Mus musculus: one gene and its partner. The protein of the gene in region 2 binds, or shares a complex with, the protein of the main gene of each other region. Links are inferred from orthologs where the notes say so. Each region holds a gene or a part of one and is shown on either strand. Other genes may lie near its edges.

Evidence for each region.
Region 1: the proteins of Plekhm2 (region 2) and Arl8b are in contact, whole or in part, in a crystal structure (PDB 8JCA), measured with the Homo sapiens proteins. The link is inferred for Mus musculus from reciprocal best matches to the Homo sapiens genes PLEKHM2 and ARL8B. Residues at the interface, in NP_055979.2 of Homo sapiens: His70, Phe71, Thr72, Arg73, Arg74, Glu75, Glu103, Ser105, Glu107, Ser108, Tyr109, Arg111, Leu112, Glu115, Glu147, Phe148; in NP_060654.1 of Homo sapiens: Glu22, Thr52, Val53, Gly54, Phe55, Asn56, Met57, Lys68, Trp70, Arg77, Phe78, Arg84, Tyr85, Arg87, Gly88, Val89.

Annotation. Positions count from the first base shown.
Region 1 is NC_000072.6:108,781,818-108,785,729, reverse strand, and holds the start of Arl8b (ADP-ribosylation factor-like protein 8B), read right to left. Parts: upstream 2,672-3,912; 5' UTR 2,476-2,671; coding exon 2,353-2,475; intron 1-2,352. UniProt on the Homo sapiens protein: Small GTPase which cycles between active GTP-bound and inactive GDP-bound states.
Region 2 is NC_000070.6:141,636,646-141,640,457, reverse strand, and holds part of Plekhm2 (pleckstrin homology domain-containing family M member 2), read left to right. Parts: intron 1-595; coding exon 596-782; intron 783-2,973; coding exon 2,974-3,033; intron 3,034-3,812. UniProt on the Homo sapiens protein: Plays a role in lysosomes movement and localization at the cell periphery acting as an effector of ARL8B.

The DNA of each region.
Region 1 (3,912 bases), on a different chromosome or scaffold from region 2:
AACTGGGACTACCTAGTGAGTTCAAGGTCAGAGGACCACAGAGTGAAACTCTGTCTCAAAAGAACAAAGACTAGATGAAAGAGAGAAACAAGATAAGCTGGTAGTGTCTAAGGAGTCAGCCTCTTTCTCAGCATTTTAAACCCCCATCGAGTACTTACAGTCCAGCCTTTTTTCTTCTTTCCCGAAATTATTTTTATTCCGGGTGTGTTGGGTGGGGTTCCTTACGGTGTAGCCCTGCCAGGTCTGGTACTTGTTATGTAGGTGTACAACATCAGGCAGACCCTCAAACTTGGAAGCATCATCCTGCCTCGCCTCCTTAATGCTGGAATTACGGGTAAGCATCACCAAGTCTTGGACGTTAACATTTTTAATTGACAGACCATAATTATGTATGTGTGTATGGGGGGGGGGTAGTGTAAAGTTTTATGATATATACAGAATCTGTAATGGCTAAAGTAAGTTAAACATGGCCTCTCTTTTTTTGGGTGATCTTTAACAGCTCACCTACACCACCATAATTCATAAAGAATAGTGTAATATTGATAGCAGGAGGTCGACAGCACTGCTGAGATTGGATAGTTGTTACAAAGAATCTAACTCAAAAGGAAGGGGGGTTGAAGGTGCTTCCTTCCCACAAGCCATAAATCTGCAACCGTAGACAACACTGGCCTGAGAGTCAAAGGAAATGAGCCCGGCTCAGTCCTTTCTCAACGTATCTCCTTGTGCCTGCTTTGGGTAGTACAGCCATCTACATGTTAACACTTCCCTCCTCCTCCTGGTTAGACCTCAGAGCAACTCTGCTAAGGACTCTATTGTTATCTGCACTTCATAGACAAGAAAACAGAAATCGACTCAACCAGACCCAAGGCTGCTAAGATCCAGATTGCAAATCCAGAACTGCATGGCATAAAAGTTCAGGCTTGTTATATATATCAAGCTACACTGCCCAGTGATAATACAGGCATGAGAGTAAGCAGTACATCTCTTAAATCCTACTCATTGGTGCAGGTCCTTGCATTAACTCCTCCGCAGCAAATACAACTGGCCATCCCAACACACCCACGTGTACCATTTCGATCTTGCCCAAGGGACAGGAGTCCCGAGGAAACTCCAATTCTTATCTAGGGTAACAGAAAATGAACAGCTTGAAGCCTGTAGAAAAGTTCTAGTATGAAAGAGTCTAAAGTCTGTTCTGCCTTGTTCTCTTGGGGTCGGGGTAGAGGCAACATAGAAAGAGCCTAACATGAAGTTCGGGAAAGTTTCCTTACACTTATATATTCAGCCATCTTCGAAAGAGATTTGAGCCTCCGCTCCTCTCTCTGACGCCTGTTGCTCTATTACTACAGGGACTGAGTCACACGTTACCTAGGTTTTCCCAGGGCAGTGTGTAGCCAAACCAGTCGGGCAGCTCAGCTGTCTCCTGTGTGAGGATTGCAACAATCCTCTTGAAGGTCTAGGAACTGCCGCCACTTCTCATCAGAACAATTGTAAAGCTCAACCCTCTAAGTACAGCCCTAAAACTGTGCAATGACTCCTTGGCTCCAAAGACTGACATTCACGCCCATTCCTTTCCCAACCAATCAAAGACGCAAAACTCAACGACCACTCTCCCACCGAATTCACATTATATTTACTAGGCAACTTCCCTGAGCCTCCATAAGCTACGTCCCAATCCAAACAAATTCCTTCTGCAAGAGGGAAGAAAAAAAAAAATCTCTCTAAAGACCAAAGCCTGCAAACTTTATGTTGAATGCAGATCCATCTATCTACCCGTTTAACACAATCAGCTGTGGAGAAACCGAGACTCGCCTCGCCCTTGCTCCCTGTCTTAGAAAATACTGGGATCTGAATGGTCTCTCCAACAGCTTCCCCCAGTAAGCTAGGTCATCAGTTTGCTCTCCGACGCTCCATGGACAAGTGACAAAGACCAAGCGAACTGGAGGCGCCGAGGCTCCCCCTGGCATTCACAGAAGCGCCCACACGGGTTGCCTGCTTTCACAATGCGACTCCATCGTCCCAAGTGGAGACTTAGGAGAGGCGTCCCCTTCGCAGGCGTTCTGGAAAAGGCCAGGCTCACCCGTCCGGGTGAACAAGTGACAGGTTGGAATTAACCCTTCAGCCTCTACGGCCCGAAAGGCAGCAAGTGTGGCAGACTCGGATTAACCCTTTCCAGGCCGTGTTAAAGGCACAGCCCCCACCACCACCACCAAAACGCAACGTGGAATTGACCCTCCTGCTGCCGACCCTCCGGCTACAACTCCGAGGCCCACACACGCAGGATCGCCCGGCCCGGCCTTCGGGGAGGTGACAGGCGCGAGACGCCGGCCAGGCCGCCCGCAGAGGGCTGCTCACCGCGATGACATTGACGAAGGTGGTCTTGCCGGAGTACTGCAGCCCCACGAGCGTCAGTTCCATCTCCTCCTTCCAGAAGAGCGAACGGAACCAGTCCAGCAGGCGGGAGATGAGCGCCAGCATGGCGGCGGCCGGCTGCGAGCGTGGACGGGCGCGGACGACAGCGGACACTCTTTCCCACGAGCGGGTATCGGCCCCGAACCCGCCAACGGCTCTTCGGCGGGGCCCCTGGCGCGACGCGGGCAGACAGAGGCTGGCGGCAGCGACGGCCGGAGCCAGGAAGCCCAGCGGGTCATATGACTCGCCCTACCCCCCCCACGCCTGGCCCAGCGCAGGCGCGGAAGCGCACGGAAAGAGCGGCGCGGTCCCGTAGACTCCCAGCGCCCTCCGGCGACATCGCCACCTGATGGTGAATCCCACGACACACCCTTCCCTCGCCTTGGTGCCAATTCACTTGTCACATGCCTTTCCTCTTTTCTTTTCTTTCTTTCTTTTTTTTTTTCCCCCCAAATTATGGGTCTCCCAGCAAACGCATGTCAACAATTTCAGTACTTGAGAGGTGGAGGCAGGAGGATCAAGAGTTCAATAAACACAGAAGGTGGGGTTACAGAAATGACTCGGTGGTTAAAAGTGCTTGAGGCTCTTTCAGAAGACCCAAGTTCAGGACCCAGCACCCACACCTGGCAGCCCTCATCAGCCTGTAACTTCAACTCTGGGGGATCCAGATCTAGGGCTTTCTGACCTTGTACATTCTGCAAACATATGCGCATACTCCCACAACGAAACACATAAATAATAATAATCTTTAAAAAAAAACAAAGAGTTGGTCCTCGTTCACTTTTTGATTGAATTTTCCTATAATTGTTCATTGGCAATGTACCCTGAAGGAAAAAGTTAATACTCGGAGGAATTGAACACGGAATAAAAAAAAAAAAAAATCAGAATCTGGGATGGGGATGTAACCCAGTGGTAGAATGCTTGCCTGGCCTGTATGGAGCACTCTGGGTCTAACTAGGGCTCAAGGGAGGATGGGGCAGAGGCAGTGATCCGAATGTAAAGTGAATAAATAAATGAATTAATTAATAGGGAAAATTTCTTTCCCAGCATGTGAAAGACACAGGGTTTGTTTCTAACACAGCAAAACATTAGTGACAGCAAAATCCCTGCCCTCCTGCGGGTTACAGTCCAGTGTGGAGAACAGAACATATACAGCAAACAAACGAGAAAATGCCACGTGGTACTTAACACTATAAAGAAGAGGAACAGAGAAGAAGCTGGAGCCGGCCTGCTTGTCTTTAAGTCAGGTGGTCCTGAGTGGAAAGGCTTGAGGGAAGTGAGAAGGAGAAGCAGGCTGACGTTTGGTAGAAGCACATTCCAGGAAAAGACCCTGAATGGGGAAGGACAGTGAAGTGGTTTGGACTTTGAAGGATGGTGTGCCTGGGGCGAGGGGGAAATGATGGAATTATATTTTAACTGAAAATATATTTTTAAAAAGGAACTCCAGCTGGCTGCCCCAACTTCCCCAGTTGATTTCTGCTTCATATTTGTAAATCTCTAACT
Region 2 (3,812 bases):
GATGGTGGAGCCCCCGCCTTGCATGCCTTGCACACCTTCAGGCAGGCAATGCACAGCTGCTGCTTCAGACATCTGTGGGACACACCCTTGGCTCTAGGACTGGTTCCTTATTCCTTGGGGGCAGTTATTTTCTAATTAACTCCCGAAGCACATTGATTTCCCTAAGAGCATGGGATGTCTGTGTGTGGTATGTAGGGGTGTGTGTGTGTGTGCGTCTTTGTATATCATATGTATTTGTGTGTGTGTGTCTGTGTGGGGTGTTGGGGGTGTATGTCTGTCTGTGTGTCTATATGCTGCATGTCTGTGTGTTTTATCTGTATGTCTGTGTCTGTTTGTGTGTATCATGTGTCTGTGTGTGTCTATGTCTGTTGTGTGAGTGTGTGTGTGTGTGTGTGTGTGTGTGTGTGTGTGATATGTGCATATCATGTGTATTTGTGTGTGTGTATGTCAGGTGTGTGTCTGTGCGCGATCCCCATTTTCCCGTCCTGGGTCTACTGACTGCTACCGAGCCTTGTTTGCTGCCTGACCCCCAGGCTGCTATCCAACATCTCTCTCTTCCTGTGCACATCTCTCTCTTCCTGTGCTCTCTCTCCAGGACGCCCCGTACTTAGACCTGGCTCCGTACATGCCTGACTATTATAAACCTCAGTACCTGCTGGACTTTGAAGACCGCCTTCCTAGCTCAGTCCACGGTTCAGACAGCCTCTCCCTAAACTCCTTCAATTCTGTCACCTCCACCAACCTGGAATGGGACGACAGTGCAATTGCCCCATCTAGCGAGGGTAAGTGGCCCTGGGGTGAAAGGAACCAGGCCTGTGCCCTGAAACATTCCCTGGAGCCTCCTAAGCCCGACTGAGCATGACTGAGCCCCACTGAGCATGACTGAGCCCCACTGAGCATGACTGAGCCCGACTGAACCCAACTGAGCCCCACTGAGCCCGACTGAGCATGACTGAGCCCCACTGAGCATGACTGAGCCCGACTGAACCCAGCTGAGCCCAACTGAGCATGACTGAGCCCCACTGAGCCCCACTGAGCCCGACTGAGCCTGACTGAACCCAACTGAGCATGACTGAGCCTGACTGAGCCCCACTGAGCCCCACTGAGCCCGACTGAGCCTGACTAAACCCGACTGAGCCCCACTGAGCCCCACTGAGCCTGACTGAGCCTGACTGAACCCAACTGAGCATGACTGAGCCCGACTGAGCCCGACTGAGCCCCACTGAGCATGACTGAGCCCCCACTGAGCCCGACACCCGACTGAGCATGCCTGCTCCCTCCCAGTTGAACAGAGCTGACCATTTCCAAGATCGTCATTTCCTTGGTTTCTGTGGTAGCTAAAAAACATCGGTCGGGTTTTATGAGCCTTACTAACTTCTCCAGAAGTTTCTAACCTCATGCCCGGGTCAAGGAGAGATGTGCAGCAGTGTGCCCTGAAACTCTTGCCTGAGTCCTGGCTGAGCATCAGCTGCCTGGGGAGGGGTGCCCTGCAGCAGGTTCTACAGAGAGGCTGAGCAAGCTCAGGAGAGACAGACAGGTGGTCTGAGGGGGGCAGAACCAGCACAGTTTCTTGGGCAGTCCCTGCTAGTGTCCCTCCATGGGTCAGAGAGGGCTGCACCTGTCCTGAGACTGAGGAGCCATAGGCGGACGGACCCCTTCATCTCAGATCAGTTGCTAGAAAACCCTGGCTTGCCGGGCGGTTGGTGGCACACGCCTTTAATCCCAGCACTTGGGAGGCAGAGGCAGGTGGATTTCTGAGTTTGAGGCCAGCCTGGTCTACAGAGTGAGTTCCAGGACATCCAGGGCTACACAGAGAAACCCTGTCTCGAAAAAAAAAAAAAAAAACAAAAAAAAAAAAACAAAAAAAAAAAAGAAAAGAAAAGAAAAGAAAAGAAAAGAAAAGAAAAGAAAAGAAAAGAAAACCCTGGCTTTCCCCAGACCTTAGGTCTTTGCCCCACTTTGGTGAGATCAAAGACGCCCTCACTCACTCGGCCTCACCTCTGGGGGTCACCTCTGGGGGTCAGGGGGTCAGATACTCAGTTCTTCTGGCCTTGCTCCCTTGAGACCTGACCTTCCCCATTCTTTGTTCTGCTGTGCCATGGGTCATATGCCCAACTTTGAGACTTGCTGTGAGTAAGATCTGCATTGCAGGAGCTAGCAGTGTAGCTCAGGGGGCAGAACGCTGGTCTAGTGTGTATGAAGCTCTGGGTTCAAACCCCAGCGTTGCACAAACCCAGGCTTGGGGCCAGTGAGATGGCCTAGTGGCTAAAAATCACACCAGGCAAGCCTGACCACGTGACGCTGGTCCCGGGAACCCACCATGTAAGGAGAGAAGTGGCTTTTGAAGCTTGTCCTCTGATTTACATACACACACAGACACACACACACACACACACCATGATAGGGGAAGATACCTGCCATCTCAGCACTTGGGAGGTAGAATCAAGAGGATCAGAAATTCGAAGTCTTTCTCTACTATGTAGCAAGTTCAAGATCAGCCTGTGCTTCATGAAAAGGTTTCAAAAATTTAGTAATAAAAAGACTTGCACTGCTTATTTGCATATGGAACAAGGGAAGAGGACATTCAGACTCTGGCTGGGCCTCATGGGCTACCCTAGAGGAGGAGTCAGAGGGACAAACCTTGAAGAAGCAACCAGGCCACCCATGAATAAAGGTCCCCGCTAAGCCCAGCGATTTATACTGTCTAACTCAAGGCAGAAGGACAGGACCTTGTTTCCACAAGAGCCATGGAGGGAAGGAAGGCAAGAAGTAGAAACTCAGACTCTTTTCTGCCAGAGCAGGCTCTGAGTTGGGAAGGAGTGGCCCTCAGGGCAGCCGAGGTCATAGTTGCAAGTTAGAGAATATGTACTGAGTTCCTCTCCGTCTCTTCTCCTGTGTCTCCCGCCCTCCGCCCCGACGTCCCTCCCTCCACTGCCTGTTTCTAACCCTGAGTTTTATCCCTCGTTTTTATAGATTATGATTTTGGAGATGTGTTTCCAGCAGTGCCGTCTGTACCCAGCACAGACTGGGAAGGTGGGACAGAGTCCTCTGTGACCCTCTTTTCCTGTTTGCAACGTTGCCATGCCAAGCTTGCTGCATGTTTCAGAATCAGCTCCTTATTTCTTATAACAATGTCCGTGGTCATAACGACGCCACAGCTGGTGTTGGAGTAGGTGGAATTCTGCAGTAGGAAACTTGGCCCTTAGCTCTTCTCTCAGAAGTTTTTGCTTTCCCACGGGAGCCTTGGAAGTTACTAGTGAGTGTGGCACACACACTAGGCCACCTGCCCGATTCCAGTCCTTGTCATTGTAAAACAGTGTATGTCAGTGGCCTGGCTCGGTGAAGTGGAAACTTATTCTAGAAAAGTGATGCTTTGAGATACAGGGATTGTGAGCAATCTACCCTGTGAGTATCCAGGAGGAAGATGGAGGCTTGGTCCTTTCAGGCAATCCCTAATGGACTGAGGAAACTGCCCAGGCATAACTAAAATGCCCTACAGGGAGAGCCAGCAAGGTGGCTTGGCAAGCAAAGGCGCTTGGCATCAAGCATGGCCACATGAATTCTATCCCTGGAAGCCACAAGTGGGAGGAGAGAACTGACTTCCCCAAGCCAGCCTCTGACCTCTGCATGCACACACACACGCACGCGCGCACACACACACACAGCATCCTCTGACCTCTGCACACACACAGCATCCTCTAACCTCTGCATACACACACAGCATGCCCTGTCCCATTAATAAGTCAATATGGAGGTTCTCTTAGATTCTTACTGTCTACTGAACATCAATATTGTGGAGACATTTTTCTACC